Ovis aries: one gene and its partners. The protein of the gene in region 2 purifies or fractionates together with the protein of the main gene of each other region. This does not show direct contact. Links are inferred from orthologs where the notes say so. Each region holds a gene or a part of one and is shown on either strand. Other genes may lie near its edges.

The links.
Region 1: the proteins of ARPC5L (region 2) and ACTR3B purify together in Homo sapiens (affinity purification with mass spectrometry; 3 studies listed by BioGRID and IntAct, counting the BioPlex papers as one, with this or other methods). This does not show direct contact. The link is inferred for Ovis aries from reciprocal best matches to the Homo sapiens genes ARPC5L and ACTR3B.
Region 3: the proteins of ARPC5L (region 2) and ACTR3 purify together in Homo sapiens (affinity purification with mass spectrometry; 6 studies listed by BioGRID and IntAct, counting the BioPlex papers as one, with this or other methods). This does not show direct contact. The link is inferred for Ovis aries from reciprocal best matches to the Homo sapiens genes ARPC5L and ACTR3.
Region 4: the proteins of ARPC5L (region 2) and ARPC3 purify together in Homo sapiens (affinity purification with mass spectrometry; 7 studies listed by BioGRID and IntAct, counting the BioPlex papers as one, with this or other methods). This does not show direct contact. The link is inferred for Ovis aries from reciprocal best matches to the Homo sapiens genes ARPC5L and ARPC3.
Region 5: the proteins of ARPC5L (region 2) and ARPC1A fractionate together in Homo sapiens (co-fractionation; 7 studies listed by BioGRID and IntAct, with this or other methods). This does not show direct contact. The link is inferred for Ovis aries from reciprocal best matches to the Homo sapiens genes ARPC5L and ARPC1A.

What each region holds. Positions count from the first base shown.
Region 1 is NC_056057.1:116,721,384-116,725,658, forward strand, and holds the start of ACTR3B (actin-related protein 3B), read left to right. Parts: upstream 1-1,475; 5' UTR 1,476-1,563; coding exon 1,564-1,607; intron 1,608-4,275. UniProt on the Homo sapiens protein: Plays a role in the organization of the actin cytoskeleton.
Region 2 is NC_056056.1:11,024,877-11,027,262, forward strand, and holds the end of ARPC5L (actin-related protein 2/3 complex subunit 5-like protein), read right to left. Parts: coding exon 2,211-2,386; intron 1,049-2,210; coding exon 986-1,048; 3' UTR 501-985; downstream 1-500. UniProt on the Homo sapiens protein: May function as component of the Arp2/3 complex which is involved in regulation of actin polymerization and together with an activating nucleation-promoting factor (NPF) mediates the formation of branched actin networks.
Region 3 is NC_056055.1:178,988,741-178,992,972, reverse strand, and holds the start of ACTR3 (actin-related protein 3), read right to left. Parts: upstream 2,801-4,232; 5' UTR 2,587-2,800; coding exon 2,543-2,586; exon of another isoform or gene 1,831-2,542; intron 1-1,830. UniProt on the Homo sapiens protein: ATP-binding component of the Arp2/3 complex, a multiprotein complex that mediates actin polymerization upon stimulation by nucleation-promoting factor (NPF).
Region 4 is NC_056070.1:54,364,323-54,368,544, forward strand, and holds the start of ARPC3 (actin-related protein 2/3 complex subunit 3), read right to left. Parts: upstream 2,801-4,222; 5' UTR 2,709-2,800; coding exon of another isoform or gene 2,703-2,708; intron 917-2,702; 5' UTR 883-916; coding exon 865-882; intron 106-864; coding exon 6-105; intron 1-5. UniProt on the Homo sapiens protein: Component of the Arp2/3 complex, a multiprotein complex that mediates actin polymerization upon stimulation by nucleation-promoting factor (NPF).
Region 5 is NC_056077.1:37,483,597-37,487,658, forward strand, and holds the start of ARPC1A (actin-related protein 2/3 complex subunit 1A), read right to left. Parts: upstream 2,801-4,062; 5' UTR 2,675-2,800; intron 1-2,674. UniProt on the Homo sapiens protein: Probably functions as a component of the Arp2/3 complex which is involved in regulation of actin polymerization and together with an activating nucleation-promoting factor (NPF) mediates the formation of branched actin networks.

The DNA of each region.
Region 1 (4,275 bases), on a different chromosome or scaffold from region 2:
TTCCTCCATACTCCTCACCTTTCTTTTCTTCCCACCTTCTACTTTTCTTTCTAGGTTCCTCAAAAATTTCCTAGATCTGGGCCTTATTTGACCTGAATGAAAGTGAAGTGGCTCAGTCGTGTCCGACTCTTTGCGACACCATCAACTGTAGCCCACCAGGCTCCTCCGCCCATGGGATCCTCCAGGCAAGAATACTGGAGTGGGTTGCCATTTCCTTCTCCAGTATAGGAAAAAAAAAAAAAAAACAAAACACCCTCAAACAAAAAAGGAATCATCATGGGTTGTCTAACATGATCAAGTAATCTACCACTACTTCTCATACGGAAAAGCAGTTTAAAAATGCTTTTAATACCAGTTAAACTGCCTGGAACTACATCTCCAGAAGAGTCCTAAAAAGTAAGGTCAGGAATATATGATAGGGAGGGAGGAGGAAGCAAGTGGAATCTTCTCGACCTTCATAACATAGTTGGTAAGTGGTGTGAACTTTGGTCCGGGTTCCAGGAAGATCTTTTGGACATCACTTCACCTTTGATACTTGAGAATATGTTCCATAATGATCCTGGTGTAGTGTTAACCTGATCGAAGGTCAATCACCCCTTAAAGCTGTCCGTGCATTTGTTGCACAGGTTTTTCTTCTATAGAGGAAAGCATGCAGTGTTCTGACAGGTGTAAGAATTCTAACGTCAAGGTTTTTTTTTCTTTATTCAGAAAACATTTGGGTGTTTCCCGGAGAAGGCGATGGCACCCCACTCCAGTACTCTTGCCTGGAAAATCCCATGGACGGAGGAGCCATGGGGTCGCTAAGAGTCGGACACGACTGAGCGACTTCACTTTCACTTTTCACTTTCATGCATTGGAGAAGGAAATGGCAACCCACTCCAGTGTTCTTGCCTGGAGAATCCCAGGGACGGGGGAGCCTGGTGAGCTGCCGTCTATGGGGTCGCACAGAGTCGGACACGACTGACGCGACTTAGCAGCAGCAGCAGCATGAATGCACCAAGTACTCTGCTGCGCATCCTTGTCATCAGTGGGAAGACATTCAGGAGCCGTATCTAGCGGAGCCTATAGCCTGCTATAGGAGTACAAATAAATATATACACACGGTATAAATTTGCTCCAAATGTTGTGAAGCAAAGCAATAGATTGTTGAGATAGTGAGTAAGGTGCAGGGGGGTGAGGGGGCACCTAGCAGATGAGCAGGGACAGCTTCCTTGAGAAGGTGACATCTGAGAGGAGACTTAAAAGGATGAGGAGTCAGGCTTCGGGGTCAAGTCCACGGTAAGTCAGAAGAGCTCAAAGCCTCTCCCGCAGCGAGGTGGGACGTACAGGGAACGAGGCCCCGCTGCCAGCACTAAAGATGGCGGGCGGCCGGGGGCGGGGACAGGGCGTGTCATCGTAGTGATTGGCCAGGCGGGGGTGGGCGGGGCGTCACGTGTGCCGGCGGCGAGCATCCGGGCTCCCGGCGGCGGCGCTGCGGAGGCTCCCGGGAGCCCGGCGGTGGCGCGGGGCGGCGAGCGGGCCGGCGATCCGGGGAGCCTCCGGAGCCGGCCGCGTGGGCCGAGCATGGCGGGCTCCCTGCCTCCCTGCGTGGTGGACTGCGGCACCGGGTAAGAGCCGCGGGCGCCCGCTCCGGCCCCGGCGCGCCTGCCCCTGCCTGCCCCGCGGCCCGGCCCCCTGGTCTCACCTGGGGTGCCCCGGGCCCGGGTCGCGGCCCTCACCTGTCCAGGGGCCCCCTGACTCACTCACCTTGCTGGGGAGGGAGCCGAGGGGAGACGTGGCCTCCCCGCCTCCTCCTTGCGCTCGGCCGGGGCTCCCCGGGACCCGTACGCCTCCCGGGGGTGCGGGCTGCGCACCCCGCTGCCGTTCCCTCGCCTTCCGCCTGCCTCACGGCGCCCCTGCCTTCTCTTCAAAAGTGGCCCTCGTCCTGGGTCCCTAAGCGCATGCCATTTCTCCTCCCTGATAGGGCTTCTTTATCACTTACTTGTGGGAGGTTTTTACAACCGTCTCCCAAGTTGACATCTTTAAAAAAAAGTGTGTGTGTGTGTGTGTGTGTGTGTGTGCGTGCGTGTGTGTGTTTGCAGCCTACTCTGTCCTCTTCCAGTATTGAATGGTTCAGTCAGGCTAAGGTCTTGCTTTAGTTTGCCTAGAGTTGCCTTTGCACTTAAAAATGTTAAAAAAGGCTCCATTTTGAAAAACAGAAAAACCAAAATGTGGGAAAGGCTGTTGGTGGTAGTATAGTTTCTATGTCTGCCCCCCGCCCCCAGCCCGTTACTTGTGGGCCGTGATTGCTTCTTTTGATGTTGGGATATGCCAAAGAGACCCTTCGGAAATCTCCCGGTCCTTTCCAGTGGCCCAGGCTCCGATCATTTTTAGGAAGGTGCTCGCTGAATCCATTTAGGTTTTGGTTTAGAAAGTCAAGCTTGCCTGCTTGCACTGTAGGTGAAGTGCTTAATAAAATAGCCCAGAAGTAAGTTTAGCCTCTTAGAAAGATTTTTCAAGAGGGGATTTTAGTCATTTTTTGCCACAGAATATTCCATGGCACGTTCACGGTAGCCTTGATTCTTCTCTGTAGAGAAACGCACTTGGTTCAGTTTCCTTGACAACCTTGTGGGGGTGTCTTCCTTAATTTGCTACAGTCCATCTCCTACGGATTGTTCTTTCCTTTTGCTGCAGAAAAAGGAGTGGTTACAATCTGGAAAAAACTGCTTCTTTGCATATATTAATTTTCCTTTCAGAGATACACGTTGTACCAGAAGTTTTGGGGCTCTTTATTTCAGTAGTTGTTTTGCTACCCAGAACCTGAGCCAAAAGCAGTGTTGATAGGAACACCCCCACCCCCAAATACTGGCTTCCTTATGCATCTCCTCCCACCATCTGGTATTCACCCCACACCCACCTGAGGTCTGGTTGTGTCAGGAGAGAAGGCAGCTGGTCAAAGAATCTTTCATCCCCACATTTGCACGTGAGGTTTTTGTGGTTTTGGTCTTATAAAACTGTTGAAATACAAAGTATTTCTTGGTAGAAGCAACAAAATGTGCCCACAGGGTTTGTCATACCTTTAATATTAGTAAGCTGGGAGCCTTACTCATCATTCTTGCTATAAATACCAAAGTGTGGTGCTCAGTTATGACCGTCTGAGGTAGGTGGTATCTCACGTGGCGGTATAACTTCAGGATATCTTTGTCTTCTGGCCCCAAGTTATGTATCGTCTTCAGGCTGTTGTAGGCGTTGTGTCAGGACTAGAAATAGTGGCCAGGGATCCTGCCAGTGGGTTTCACATGGACATAGTCTTTTGTGGGAACGGTGATGGTCAGTCAGGAATTTCCAGTGTCCAGTGTGTGGCCAGGAGGAGGAGCCTGGAAGAGCCCAAGTTTATTTAAGCATATTACTGCTTCTTATATGTCCTGCAGAGCCAAGTGACTTTGGATTGACCTTTAACTCAAAATGGGATAAAAAGGGATAAAATGCAGATAAATATAACTAGGACCGAAGAAAGGAACAGGCCTGGAAAATCACCTTAAACTGTAGGCCCACAGTGCAGCTGGTTGGTCTCAAGCTTGGCCTTCCTGTATGACAAGATTATGAGAGAGTCATCGTCAGTTATGTAATTCCTGTCATCAGGGAAGAAGAGAAATACCTGTTTCTCAGGCGAAAGAGCTTTCTCTAGTACTAAATTCTAAAAGAAAGATTCACACTGATAGTGGACATTTATGATTGAGTAGACAGTATACTCAATGGTGCTTTTTAAAAATAGCAAATAAATTTCATCCTGGGAGCCTGGCCTCATCTAGTAAACCCTGAGACCAGCTTGGTGAGCACACGTGTTCTTGGGGGTGGGATGACATGGACCACAGCTCTGCCTGCTCCACAGATGAAGCTTCGTCCACTTAAGTGAGTTACTGGGCTCCAGAGTGTTCAGAGAATAGCCTCACTTTTCTTAACTGAACTTGTAGTTCTGAAGATTTTTGTATTCTTTAAACTTATTTTGAGAAAGTTCAAATCTACTGAAAAGCTGCAAGAAGAGTACCAAGAAAATGCTATATAGTCTCCATCCAGCATTCTAACTACTAACATTTGCTTTATTGTTCTCTGTATACTTTATGCGTTATTATCTTTCTGAACTGTTTGTGAGTTGCAGCCATCCTGCTGTTTACACCAGGGTACTTCAGTATATCCTTTATGAGAACATGCGTTCACAGACCAGTGATCAGAACCAGAAACTAACGTTTATGCTGCTCTGTGTTACCTGCTCTGCAGTCTGGATGCCGTGAATGG
Region 2 (2,386 bases):
TGCTCTTCAGACAGGCCCACTGTCAGCGGTTACAGGGAACAAAATGTGCCTTGTCTGTGTACAGGCTTGTTCCTACCTGTTTGTCTCTCCCTCCTGTAAAGAAAACCCCTCAGCATCACAGTCTTCCTGGCGAACAGCCAAGCCCAGCGTCCGGAGGGGTTGATGGGCACACCTGAGCCCACTCCCAGGACTCCCAAGTGCAATCACACAAACTGAAGACTTTATTAAATAAGCTCCAAAACTACATACAAATCAGAGGAGTAAAAACAATAGTTATTCAGCAAAACATGTCTGTGTAGCAGCCAGCAGCACTGTGGCCCAGGCTCGAGGGACCGCTGCAGCCAGAGTGAGAACACCACGCTCGCTCCCAGGCAGCTCTGCAGGGAGTTTTGTCTGTCTACCACTCCACGTCCAGTTTCCAGAACAGGCCACCTCTCATCCATGACCATCCCATTTATTTCCCGTTCCTTTTATACACATGAAACACACGGCAGAGTATATACTAATAAGCCAAGAGCTTTATTGATGCAGCAGGCACTTTACAATGAACCCAAGAGAGCCCGCCTTCTCTGGGAGGTCGGGGTGTCTGTACAAACCCTCGGGGGTTTCCGCTTCAAAAAAAAACCTAGCTCTCCCTTTTACCGCAGCCCTTGGATCTGCACCTGCCCAAACCACCCCTCCCTCCTTTTAAACAGGCAGTGCACACAGGTACCCCGGACCAAGGCGGGCCAGCCACTCTGGTAGAGTCAAAATGTCAGTTCTGCGTTACTCGTGGACAAAGGCATAGACTATCAGATCCTGCAAAGGATTTATGAAAACAGACGATCTCTCCCTCCACCTTGAAAATAAAACACTTCAGCGGATGCAGGTCGTGAAATAGTTGACTTGGGAGTTCCGAGACAGGCGGCCCATTGTCAATCCCTTCTTCGACAGCCTGTGCATCCAAAATTCTTCTTGAGGTAACATGAGTCTCTCTCTTTTTTTTTTAAACAGTCTTTCTTGCTGTAAGAACTCTTATAATGGAGCCTAGTCCTCCTACTGCTAATGCCTGTAGGGGCAGCAAAAGAAAAGGTGTCAATTGAGACCTGGCTGGCCAAGGGGCTCCTAGCTTCTTGCCAGGGGAGACAGGACTACACTCCTGACCATGTCACAGATCTTCTGAAAAAGCATTCCTGCGAGAGCACAGAAGAGGTGTCAACAGGGCCTGCATTCGACGGATCGAGCCCTTTCCTGGAACAAAGGGTCCCCAAAAGCTGTTGGCTCTTTAAGGCAGGAGAACTGGGCTTGCAACACTGTCACCAAGCTCACAGAGCCCCCCAGTTTCCCTTTGACAAGCTCACTGTATCCAGAAACAGCCCTAGGCCCTAAAACAGACACTAGCCCACTGCAGTGGAAATGTCCACAGGCTCATGCATCCGGCTGCCATGAAGGGACCAGAGAGCGTGGCCCCTCAGACGACTCCAAGGGCTTTGCTCAGCTCCCAAGCACCATAGCCACCTCCATTACGAAGCCCAGGAGCTCACCTTCTGGCAGGGCAGGCAGAACACCCACCAGCAGCACCAAAGGCCACAATTCAGCCCAGGCCTGAGGCTGGCCATGTGACTGACCCCTCAGTTAAGGGCCACTCCCTTAGTACTCGGCAGAGCCTTTCATGAGGGACACTGGCTTGACAAGAGGTGGCCCTCCCTCCACCCCCCCACCCCCTACCCACCCCCCAACACCTTGTACTAAAACAAAGGACAGGCCCAGCTTTTCCAGCTTCAGGAGGATGAAGGTCCTATTAAGAGACTGCCAAGGTATCTACCACTGTTTCTGTGTGGCCTGGTGAGGTAAGGCTGGAGCAGGAAGCCCTCAGAGCTAACCGGAGGGCTCAGCCTGCATCTAAGGCCCAGGATCACCACCTCCGCCAGCCCAAAGAAAGTATGTCAAAGCCCTGCCACCAGCAAGCCTACCTGAACCTCACCAGCCAAGTTACAGGCCCCAAGGCCTCCCCGGCACAAACTCAGCTAAAGCAATGGCAATGACCAGAGATGGTGGACCCCTACCAGTGCTTCCTTGGGAGAGGAAAGTGCTCAGATGTTCCAGGTTGCTTGAGGCGTGGCCCTCATTCTCAACGGCCTATCAGACCATCCTGTCTGTGTTTGGGACTGCCTGGCCTGTTGATCTGAACCCTGGGCTGGGGTGAGCCAGCGGGCAATGTGTTCACGTACCTTTTCATGCCACTGGAGTAACACTGCGCTGCTATTCTCTGTGGGCTTCTCAAACCCTTTATAAATGTACTTCATTAGCAAGTCAATGCCGTTTCTGTCCAGTGACTGCACAGCCTGCTCGATTTCGCTGCTCTTAAAGTTTGTAAGCACTTTCAGCACCACGCCCTGGGCCCGCT
Region 3 (4,232 bases), on a different chromosome or scaffold from region 2:
CAACAAAGACCAAAATGCCTTCTGAAAACCACAATAAGTATATATCTGGAACTTCCCTGGTGGTTAACACTCTGAGTTTCCAAAGCAGGGAGCAAGAGTTCGATCCCTGCTCAGGGAACTAACATCTCACATTCCGCATGGGCAATCAAATTAAAAATAAACAAATAAATAAACGGATCTCTAAAGGTGGAATTTCAGACAGTGACAGATGGTAAAAGAAAGTAAGAAGAATTCTTAGATCAGTTTCATTTAAATCATGACTGTCCAGCTAACACAACCTCTCCCTATGAGATAAAACTAATGTAGTAATATAATTAATAACTGATCATTAAAGCAAAAATATCCTAAGTACAAGGGGCTTCCCAGGTGGCTCACTGGTAAAGAATCTGTCTACCAATGCAGGAGACACAGGTTCGATTCCTGGGTGGGGAAAATCCCCTGGAGTAGAAAACGGCAACTCACTCCAGTATTCTTGTCTGGAAAATTCCATGGGCAGAGGATCCTGGCAGGCTACAGTCCACCCGGCCGCAAGGAGTCGGACACAGCTCAACAACCAAGACTGGGCAGCATCCTAAGTACAGACTGAACCCCCTCCCCCACACCTCATGGTAACTCAGTCTGTGTTTTAAATTCAAAGCTGCCCTATCAGAAAGACACTTAAGGATAGTTAACCTCAAAGAAATACCCAGCATACTAATTCAAACGTAATCAAGATTTCAAAAGGGAAAAAATTAAATGAGAAAAAGTTAACACCTTACCTAAGATATTACCATTAGGGCAACAATTATCTACACTAATTTTATCGACAAGGCAATAATTACTAAAGCATAGAATATTAACTATGTAGCAATATTTTTCACTGTAACAAAACATACTTGAAAATTCTTTCTCAGTCAAGCTGCCAAATCTAATTTTAAAACTGACCCTAAACATAAAACTACTCCCCAACTGGACTAAGAAGGAAGGCGGGAAAAAAAAATACTGATTCAAGCAAATAAAACTGGATTAAGAAAAATAATCACCTATCCATCAAAAATCTACATAGAAGTTTCATGGCTAAACAACACTGGTTTATTATTATATTAATAAATCGGTTATTTCCTTCTGCACGGCTGGGATTTTACAAACTGCCACACTTTCATAAAGGTATGATCATGAGGATTATAGAGAAATTTCACACAGAACAAACTGAGTGAGGAGTATACCATCCTTTAAGTAACAATAGTTCGCTAAAGAGTAAAAAGGGAAGGGAAAGGCTGACAATCTACTTCTCATAACTCCGTCCAAAATTGGGGGAATTGGAGAAGTAATCATGTATCAGCACAGCATTCACAAGCACAAGAAAACACTTCCAATAGTGAAACATAAAGCAGTCACTCTGCATTAAAACACAGGCAATATTTTCTACGATAGTATAAAGTGTGCTATAAACGCCTATTAATACAAAAGGAACGACCACTTCCACACCGTTATATACTTTAGTAAACTACACTGCAGATCCATAATAACTCCTTGAAAAGCAAGTACCTCCCTTTACAACTCTATTACCTTCCTTCTCTCCTTAAGACACGGTCACAGAATGAACCTATACAACTTAATTTTCCTGGGTGCTTCACTTCCTTCCTCTCAGTGCAACGCAAATATACTTTTTAAGTTCACAGAAATTCATACCTAGCACCAGTACCTCAGCCTATTTGAAAACTGCTTGATTTTGAAAGTTCTAATAAGATGTGTTCAGGTTGGAAACGAAAAACTACCTTATAAGGGTATAAAAGACTGAAAGCAGGAAGCGGCTTTGACAAAACTAAGGAAGTTGCAGCGCGCTTGCTCACTGGGGGACTTTTTTGAGGCAAGAGAAGTAACACATGACATCTTTCTCTCAAATTAAAATGTGAGTTGGTTGGCCGGTAGGAACGTAGTGGGAGATGGAAAAGACCGGGAGTCGAAAAGGAAGAGGAGGTGGGTGGTCCAATGAAAGCCCCGATCTAGGTTCCCATTTTCAGGGTCCGATTCTTCCCTTTCCCCTCCCACACCCCGGGTAGAATGTTGTCACAGCAATCTTGCAAAACCTACAAGGAGCGCTTCTCTTTTCTCGCTCCTTTGCCCGGCCAGTCCCCGCGCTCCATTCCCCCCGGTCTCCAAACCTACGGGCAGGAAAGGGCACCGGGCAAAGGAGGGTCGGCTGTGCGGGGCTCGAAGACCACCCCCACGCGACCGCGGGCCCCGGGGAGGCGCCCGTCCCCGCAGCCCCTCGGGCGGCGCTGCCCACCGCGGTGGGGGAAGGGCCGGGAGGGGTGGCGCGGAGGAAGCCGCTCCCCGGGGTTTCTGGGCCCCGCGCCGCCGCCCGGCTCCCAGAGGGTGCAGCGCGGGGGATGAGGGAGGCCCTGACTGCGGGCCCCACCCCTCGCCACCCGGCGCGGCCCGGGCTGACACAGCCGGCGGCAGCACCTTGCCGCTCCATTCATCTCCCGGCCTCCTCCCGGCCCCGCCATTTTCCTGCCTCCGCCTCAGTTTCCCCACCCCCGCCCATCAGCCCCCTTACCCCGTGCCACAGTCCACCACACAGGCCGGCAGCCGTCCCGCCATCTTCCTCCTCGCCTGCTGCTGCTGCTGCCGCCGTCTGCTCCGTGCCGTTTGGGGCCAGGGATGGGCGGCGGGAGGTGGAAGCTATCTGACCATCCACGGCCGGGCCACCCTCTCCGTCTGGGGGGGAGCCGGGAAGCCGAAGCAGTAGCGAGAGAGAAGCAGGCTCGGTCAGCGGCTACCACTTCCGCAACCCGGGCAGGCAGGCAGTCCCCGCCCTGCCCCGCCGCGGCCTCCTCCCCCTCTCTCTCCCCTCCTCCTCACTCCTGCCCCCACCCTACAACTTCTTCCCCTCACACCGCCTTTCCCCGGGAAGCCAAGATGGCCGCCAGTGCCGACGCCCCGGCCAGGACAGGCCTAGGCCTCGAGCGCTCCCCCTTCCGGCTCCGAGCGGGCGGGGCGAGAGAGCATGCGCACTGAGGAGCGCCGCCGGCTGCCGCTCCCATTCCGAAGGTGAGGTAGTCCACTTCGGGTGTTCTCCAGGTAGGGTTGGGTAGGTCTGCCCGAGTCTCCAGTTCTCCTTCTGAAGCTGGAAGGGGTTTTTCGTTGCAAGTACTTCTGCGCTAGGTTGAGGAAGCAATGGAATCGCATTCCACAGCCACAACTATCTTCCGGTGCTCCGACGAAAACGGCCTAATTGAAAACCTTGTCAGCGGCACCCATCCGATTTTATATCTTGAGCGGCTCCTTTTCTGGTTGGAAAAGAGCTATATCAGACGGAGGGTGAGCCGTTGGAGGAGAGAGGAACAAAGGCTTGCACCGTGGCTCCTCTGCCTTGGTACTGTTTTGTTTTGTTTTGTTTTCTTCAGTTACACTTACGCATTGTTACAACGTGGCACATTACAAGTGTTACTGCAAGGGTTAGATTGTAGGCCACCCGGAGGGCAGGCCTGTGCCCACGAGGAAGGCACACCTCACAGGAATGTAAGCCTTTGGTGGCTTTGAATGAGGAGAAAAAAGTACTCTCCGGGGTAGTTTTAGGTTGTACTATTCTACTTGCAGGATGAAACGACGGATTAAGGACCAAACTTTTTAATTAAAAAAAAAAAACTAGAAAGCCTAGAACAGTGACATTTAAACTTCTCAAAGTGTGCATCAGAATTCCGTGGAAGGCTTGTTAAAGCACAGAATGCTGGACTACATCCCTTGAGTTCTCTGATTAGGTGGTCTGGAGTGGGGCCTAGTAATTTGCATTTCTACCCAGTTCCTAGGTGTTGGTCTGGGACCTCCCCCCACCTAGGAAACCTATAATATTAATAGCTTTTTTCTCTTCTGGTTTATCTTCTGATAAACCATATGGATTCACTTATAGGTGACTGAAATAACATTTTTCCTAAGAAAGGATGTCTGATTGCTTCAGAAGATAACATAGAGTGGTGTTAGACCAGCCTGGGCAATGGAATTTAAGCTTTTCATTCATTTGGCAAATAAGAATTGCTCACCCATTCTATTAGGGCAGGGACTATGCTGACCATTAATATTCAGTAGGCACAAAATGAACAAGTTCTCTCCACTGCCGGGTTTACAGTTTAGTGGCAAAACATACAAACTGTATTAAGAGCAATAGAAATTATAATACAGAGGGCGCTGAGAAATGGGGAGGAGGGGTGAGTGAATAGGAGGGAAACAAAAGTTAGGAGAGACTTCTC
Region 4 (4,222 bases), on a different chromosome or scaffold from region 2:
CTTACTTTCTCTAGGGGCAGGTCCTTTGAACTGACTTCTGATAGGCAATAGTGCCATGTTTCCAATGAGTTTGGTGTCAGGGTCCATGAGGGAAGAGTGGTAAGCCTGTAAGGACAAGCCAGGTAAGAACACAGAAGCAGAAAGAGAGCAAATGTCACTGGGGCAAACAAGTACACTTCCCCAAGGAAAAAAATAATTCATCCAAGATAAACTGGCTCATGAAAACTATCAAAGTTTCAGGAATTCTGAGAAAATTTGAGGCAAGCTAATTGTTGAACACAGCCATTATTAAAAATAAAGTTATAGAAATTTTCAATTAAATAAATTATATTAAAAACAAAGGTAATAAATATTTGACACTTTCATTATTTCCTATTTTAAAATTATTTTACCAATGTCTGTGATCTTAAGGTTAGTTATGCCTTTTGCACCTACGGTGGAAACACTGTATGATAAGGTGCTACTGTGCTTTCCTTCCAATTTCACATCTGGTGACAGAACATTGGTAACTGGTGAGGTATTCACACTATAGAAATAGGCAAACACTATATAAATCAGAGGTACCCAGCAACCCAGCTGGTGTTAAAACCACAATCAAAGAACTGGCTCTTCAGCTCTGCCACTTTCTGGCTTTATGCCTTAAGACATCACTTTTCTTCTCTTAGCCTATTTCTACATTTGTAAAATAAAAACATATATACTTGTTTTAAGTGGGTGGATGTGAGTTAGCGGAGAGAGGAAAAAAATCACATTTATGAGAACAATTTATAGGCCAATTTCTAGTTCGGCATTTTACAAGATGTCTGGCTTTTTGTAAGACAACATGGGCCCCAGTCATTTATTCATCAAAAGATTACTAAGTACCTTCTGTGTGCAAGGCATGTGGAGATATTGGCATGCAAGACCAGCCCTGGCTCTGTCAGGTGAATAGAGGAGACAGAAAATAAGTAAGTCATCACAGGGGAGGTCAAGGGTGCTCTTTGTGCACCTGGAATGATGAGTACAAGGCATTAGGGTTCTGGCTTAAAATCTGGCTTTATCAAGATTTACTAGCGTGCTTATGTATTTAAGGGCTTCCCTGGTGGATCAAATGGTAAAGAATCTGCCTGCAATGCAGGAGACCTGGGTTCAGTCCCTGGGTTGGGAAGATCCTCTGGAGGAGGAAATGGCAACCCATTCCAGTATTCTTGCCTAGAGGAGGAGCCCAGGATTCTTGCCTAGGACAGAGGAGCCTAGTAGGACCCATGGGATCCCAAAGAGTCAGACTCAATCGAGTGACTAACTTTAACTTATGCGAAAATGGATTTAAAATGGATAACCAACAACGACCTACTGTACAGCACATGGAACTCTGCCCATTGTAATGTGGCAGCCTGGATGGGAGGGGAGTGTGGGGAAGAACAGATACATGTATATATATGGCTGAGTCCCTTTGCTGTTAACCTTAAACTATCACAACATTGTTAAATCTACTACACCCCAATACAAACACACAACACACACACACATACTGGTGTGTTACACACTAGTGTGCAACTTTGGGCAAGTTACTTAACTTCTCTGAGCCTCAACTTTCTCCTCTGCAAAATGAAAAACCACTAACATATCCACTTCATAATCACTCTGAGGATTAATTAGGGAATAATTTATACAAACTGTGTAGCTCAGAGTTGGCCTGACATGCATCAGGAGTCAAATGGTAGCTATGGGATTCACCAAACCTTAACTATGGTTTACTCCTTTTTATTACCGATGTGCTTCACCTAACGCAGCCCCTTGTCTCACCTGCACTAGCTATGCTGTCTTATTACCTTCATGGCATTTGCCACTATCTTAAACAATCCCCCCATTTTATTCACATTCACAGATTATGTCTCCTCATTAGAATGTAGACTCCTTAAGAATAGGGACTTGTTGGCCTTATTCACCGCTGTAATAGTGCTTTGGCATGCAGCAGATGCTAAACATCACATGTTACTGAACATGCTTTTTCCTCATCTGCAAAATGGAGACCATGATGGTGATAAATCTACCCGTGACTGTCAGAAATTAAGAACAACCAAACCACCATCAATTTTAACTCCTACTCTGATGCACATTAAACAAACATGTGGAAACTAGGCGCGGACCTTGCACCTGCTCTGAGAGCCCTAAACCCAGCGGCTCAGGGGTGGCAGCCACTGCCGGGGCGACAGGGGAGGAGGAGTCAGGGAAGTGGGGTCGGACAGGCGACAGGCAGCATAAGGGACCCGCCTCCAGAGGCAAAGGAGGAAGTGGGCCTACAGGGAAAAAAAAAAGAAGCCGGGCCCTAGCTGTGATATGAGAAATTAAAAGGGCAGCCCTTGCCTTCACGGCTCTAGTGAGGCTTTGGGAACCCCGCTGGAATCGGGGGGACGGGCAGAGGCGCAAAAAGCGATAAAAAGGATCAAGCTTGGAGAGGAGGGGGCAGACCTGTGGCAGTCTCCTCAGCACGCCCCGGGTCTCTGGCCCACTCTGCCATGCCCTGTTCCTCCACGGCCGGCCGACATCCCCGGGCCGCCCTAATCCCACAGAGGCCGGTCCCTCTCCTCTGGCCTTTCCCCTTCTCAGGCCCCTGCTTTCTCTCTGCCCTCCTCGGCCTACTTTTCTCACCGCACGCAAGACTTCTCGCGACTCTCTCAAATCCCCGCCGTCTCCCGACACCCCCACTTTGGCCCACTTACCGGCATTTTGGAGGCGCCCCGGTTTCAAACCCAACGAAGAGAATCTGGGTAGAGATCGGCGGTTCCGGTCTGGCAGCCCGGGCGGGGTAGGCGGAAGTGAGCCGGAAGGGGAGGGCGAGGGCAGGACGCCGCGCTTCCGGCCTCGCAGTATGTGGCTAGCCGCTGCAGCTGCGCGGATCCGACAGGGCACCAGGGGGCGCTCGAACCCTAGGCAGGGGCTCTGAGTATCGCGCCTGCGTGAAGTGTGGGCGAGAATGAGGTGGATTTCGGGGTTACAGAATCCTAGATATATCACCTCTTTCGTTTTTTCTCCAAGACCACCTTTTCAGTAGCATTCCCTGGGTCATCCTAAATTCAGTCCCACTTCACTGCCCTTTCCCTCAGTTCTTATGATTCATGTTTTACTTTTGGGTTTTGTCTCTGTCCATTCGTATGAACGTCAAAAATGCAAGGACTGTCTGTTTTGTTCACTGCTTATATCCCTACACCTGTAACAGGACGGTACAAGGTAAGCATCAATAACATGTGTTGAGTAAGAGAAGGAACTCAGTCCACTGATTTTAAAAAGGAAAAAATGATCACAGAAGGGATTTGTGTACTACTCTTGTGTGATTACGTACTGCGATTCTTTGTGTAATGGTTGAGAAAAAATTGGTTTGAATCCAGCTCCAACATTTATTGGCTGTGTCACCTTGGCAAGTTAACCTCCATACCTCAGTTTCCTCATCTGAAAATGGAGATAACAGTGATTACCTGAGTTTTGTGAGGAAATGAATTGCATGGAATGTGCTTAGAACTTACATGCCTGGAACATACTAAAAGCTAAGGAATTCTTAATCTTTACCGGAAAGCACCTCAGGTTAAAAGCCAAGTTCACTGCTGCTTCTGGCCATTTCTTTTGCCAGTCCCACAGAAGGAATTACTTTGTCCCATGTTCCCACAATTGATTTCTCATTTATATTTCTGGCCAAATTTTACCTTTTAGGAGGAGACTTCCTTGGTGGTCTCAGATGGTAAAGATAGTCTTCCCTGATCGAGCTGATCTACTGGGCCCTTAAGACTAATTATACACAAGGAAACCTCTAATGAGGGTGACTGTGGGGCTACTTTGCTCCCATCAAAAAAGCCTCCTCTTGTGTGTTAGTCACTCAGTCGTGTCCAACTCTTTGTGACTCCATAGACTGTAGCCCACCAGGCTCTGCTGTCCATGGAATTCTCCAGGCCAAGAATACTGGAGTGGGTTGCCATGCCCTTCTCCAGGGGTTCTTCCCTGGAGAACCCTGAACCCAGATCTCCTGAATTGCAGGCAGATTCTTTACCATCTGAGCACACACCAAACTCTCCATAAGGCTAAATGAGGGAGGTATAGCTCAAGCAGGATGAGGAGGGCAAATGAAAAGGTGTCTTATTTTTCTGACTCTCTCACATGACAGTAACATTAGATCAGGGTGTTTTTGCCCTTTGCATACTCGAGGGCCACAGAAAAAAGAAAAAGCAAGAGATTTCCAAAAAAACATCTA
Region 5 (4,062 bases), on a different chromosome or scaffold from region 2:
TCAAAAGAGGTAAACATTTACTCAATGGCATAATTAACTTCTAAAACTGCACTTCTAATTTTGTTATATCATTCAGGTTCCATATTTGGACCTACACTCAGGACCTGTACTTCTATAATCATGTGGCTATTTTAAGTCTGTAGACCAAGACAACATTCATGTTCGTCCAATTCATAAGACACCACCAGTGAACACAGCATGTGTTCACGAAACTCAGTGAAAGTAGAATAATGACAGCTTGGGGTTTTTTTTTTTTTCCACCAAGAAAAAGAAACCTGTCCTAGGGTGATAATTATCATTTCTAAACTGTGATTTCTACTTAAGTGAAAAAAAAGCTTATCTTATTGAAGATAGAGAGAAGAAAAAGGGACAGACAAAAAAAGGTGATGATATTAACAAACTTCTACTGATGACCTTTTAATGGCCAGCATGGAAAGGGAGAGAATGACTTCTTTGTAGCACGATATGACTCCAGGGGACCCCTCCATCCCTCAGTTCCTTTCTCTACCTATCACTTGAGTCTCTACCTATCACTTGAGCCATGGGCGGTGGAGTCAAGGGGACCTGGGTTTGAATCCTGGCTTTAATACACACTAGCCAGGAAATCCTGGGCAGGTCACTTGCTATCTCCCAAACTCATTTTTCTTCATCTGTGAAATGGACATAGAACTGACATCGCAAGGCCAGTGGTGGGAGGATTAAATGAGAAAGCACATGAACACATGTGGTTCAAAGCCTACCCCCAAAGAGATACTCAATAAATGAGTTCCCTTTCTCCCTCTGACCCAGCCCCAGAAATACACTCCAGGGAGTACCCTCTGAATTGGGAACACCTTCCTGGCCCTGGAGCTTTAAAGTAATTGTACAGTAGGGATGTCAGTTCCCTACTTAAGGTCAGTGCTCTAGACTGTGATTCATCCAGTTTTTAATTGCTCTCATCACCCAACCCAGCACTACCAGGTACTCTGACAAGGTCACCACACCCTCTACAGTGTTCAGGGACAGGTTCCAATTCCAGCCTCAACCAGCAGACTAAACCTCATTAGGCAGAACCTGTTTCGGCATAGGATTAGTTAACTAGATGGAATTACTGATCCTCTCCCTCCTAGCAGGAGATTTATTTTTCCAAGATGATCCCCTCCTTTAACTGTGATAAGCAGATGAATTAACCTTGGAAGGTCTCCAAATACTTTGAGGTAGAAGCAGCCACTTACACCTACTCCCTCACGTGGCAAAAATATCCTCCTGAATGATACTCTCTCCTTTTTTTTTTTTAATAGATACTTGAAACACCCAGGGTCTATTGGATACTAAAAGGCTAGATTTAGAAACTGATTAAAGAAAGAGGGCAGAACTAGGATAATTTAGGTAATTTCGGCAAGGAGTTGAATTAGATAAAAGTAGGTTAGCACTGCCTTCTGGTTCCAAAGCCCCAGTATGAGAACAGATGGCTTTATAATAAAAGATTCTAAACTACAATGTATTAAAGAAAGTGAAGTTGCTTAGTCGTGTCCAGCTCTTTGCGACCCCATGGACTATAATCTATCAGGCTCCTCTAACCACGGGATTTTCCAGGCAAGAATACTGGAGTGGGTTGTCATTTCCTTCTCCAGGGGATCTTCCCAACCCAGGGATCGAACTCAGGTCTCCTGCATTGCAGGGAGGAGATAAATATGCTTTACCATCTGAGCTACCAGGGAAGCCCACAGTGTATTAAAGGGCCTACCATATTCCCAGCAGTGGAGCAATACCAGGTTGGGACCAGAAACATAAATAAATCTGACACTTCTCTGGTCCACAAATCTGGGGGGAGAAGGGTAGAAGAGGAAGGGAAGACACACAGACAATATAAGAAGCACGAATAAAACTTAATTGAGCACATACTAAGGGACAGGGGCTATCCTAAGCAATGTATGCAAATAAGCTCACTGGAGCCTCAGAAACCCCTTAAGGATCTTATAAATGTAGATGAGAAAACGGGGATTCAGACCAGCAATCTTCCCAGGGTCATCCAAGCAGTCGTGGTGCCGGGATGGGAGGGAGGCTGGGCAGTCCGACTCGAGGATTAGAAATGAGAAAAGGTGCTAAAGGTTGCACGGAGGACTAGGAGCGCCGGGGGTCGACCGCGACTTAGGGGAAAGAGGCACTCAAGCGGGGAGATTCTTAAAGAACTCGGGGGAGGCTTCTTCGCCGGTTCGGAAAGGTTCCCCCTATAGCTGAAGGATGCAGGGCTGCCCTAGACAGGAACAGACACTCCAGGGGCGCTTACTGCGCTCAGGGACCCTATTCTAGACGCTGAAGCTAAAGGAATGAACCGTGCCTCGCGACGCGCGATAGGGTGGGGGTGGTGATCCCATTCACTACAATTTTAGCGCCTGTGATAAACGCCCACAATGGAAGCGCAGGAGAAGCGATCTTTCATTCTGGCATTGGAGGAGCATCGGAACTTGGAAATCGCTGAGAGATGGATCTGGGCGTGCGGGGACCCCAGGGCTCGGCAGGCCCCTCAGAGAACACCGCCTCCCCGCCCCCTCCCCCGGCCCGCCCCTCCCCTCCGCCTCCGGGCCCCGCGGCCTAAGCCCCCGCCTTGCTGCCCCCGCAGGTACAGATCGGGAGCGAGGCCCGGGCCAGGGGAGGCCAGCAGGGCCCGAACCTCGCCCCCGCTGCCCCTTACCTGGGATCGGGGCCGTCCGGACGGGCTCGGAGCGTTGAATTCGCGGACTCTGGTCAGTCGACGCGAACAGGCTCCGGCGGGCGCGGGCGGAGGACCGAGGCCCAGAGGGAGCGGCTGACAGTTCCCGGAAGTGGCCACGGCGCCTGCGCGGCGCGGCGGCGCGGGCTGTCGGCGCACGCGCGCCCCGGGGCGCGCGCGCTGCGGGGAAGGGTCGGGCGGCTTCTAAGGAGTTTGCGTCCAGAGACCGCTGGGAGCTGGTGGCGGGGCAGCGTAGACCTCTTGGTGCTTTCCTCGCAAAATGTCCTGAGACTCGAGGACCGAAGCGCGGAGCCTTGGCGCTTTCTCAAGTGCTTTGGTCACGGAATGAATTCCTGAGAATTGGGACCTTTTGAGCCAAACGAACGGACAAATCCCTACTTTTTTTTCCTCCCTCTGTGAGGAGGCCTCTTCAGAGCCCGCCCTCCCTCTGTGGAGGTCTCTCCAAGGAACGTTCTCTACCCTTCTTGGGTCAGAATCGTTCCCTGCTCCCGAGCTGGCGCCACAGGACCCAGGAGTTGGGGGAGTTCAGCCGTCCCCCAAACTCAGGAAGACAGTGACCTGAACCCCTCTTTCCACCAGACTGGCTGCCCTTGAAGTCAGAAATTATGGACCAGCTCTCCTGTCCCTGGGGTGATTGACCCGGAAACTTGTCAGGTGATGTTCACCACAGTGAACTTGTCAGATTCCCGACTTAACAGCCACACGTACTGTCTTCTCTGGGGCTGTTTATTCAGCGCTAATGCCCTGGAATAAATAGTTATCTTTGGTCCTAGGGCGTTCTAGGGCACATTGAGAGTGGAAAGATCATTTTCAGTTAATTATTCTCTCCTGGAGACAGCATCCTGGCAGGGGAAGGACCGCACGTGGAAGCGAGGATTCCTCTTATGTCTCCAAGTCAGATGAACGAATCCGGATGTAGAGTTGTTACCCAGGGTCAAAATGCCATCAGTGTTTTAGTTAGATCCCACCTCTTTACAAAGGACAGTTCCTTCTTTGAAGGGGTTTATAGGCTGGGTAAATGAGAGGGATACATACAAATCAGTAATACCAGACTCTTTATGATAAATGACAAGGTAAGAAATAATTTAGCCCCAGAAGAGTAACAATGAGACATTTTAATGTTAATCACTGATTCTATCTTTTGAGTTAATATTTTGCATTTCAGCCTAAACAAAGCTTACCATTTGATGCATTTTCTTTCATATTTTATGAGCCATTCTGGATGGTAGACTCTTAGTTCTTCAGGGGCTCTTAAGTGAAACCATCATGTTCTATAACTGAGGAAACAGGGCCAGAGGTTTTTGAGACTCCGGGAAGATTTTGATGGAAATCAGTGGCAATGCTGACAT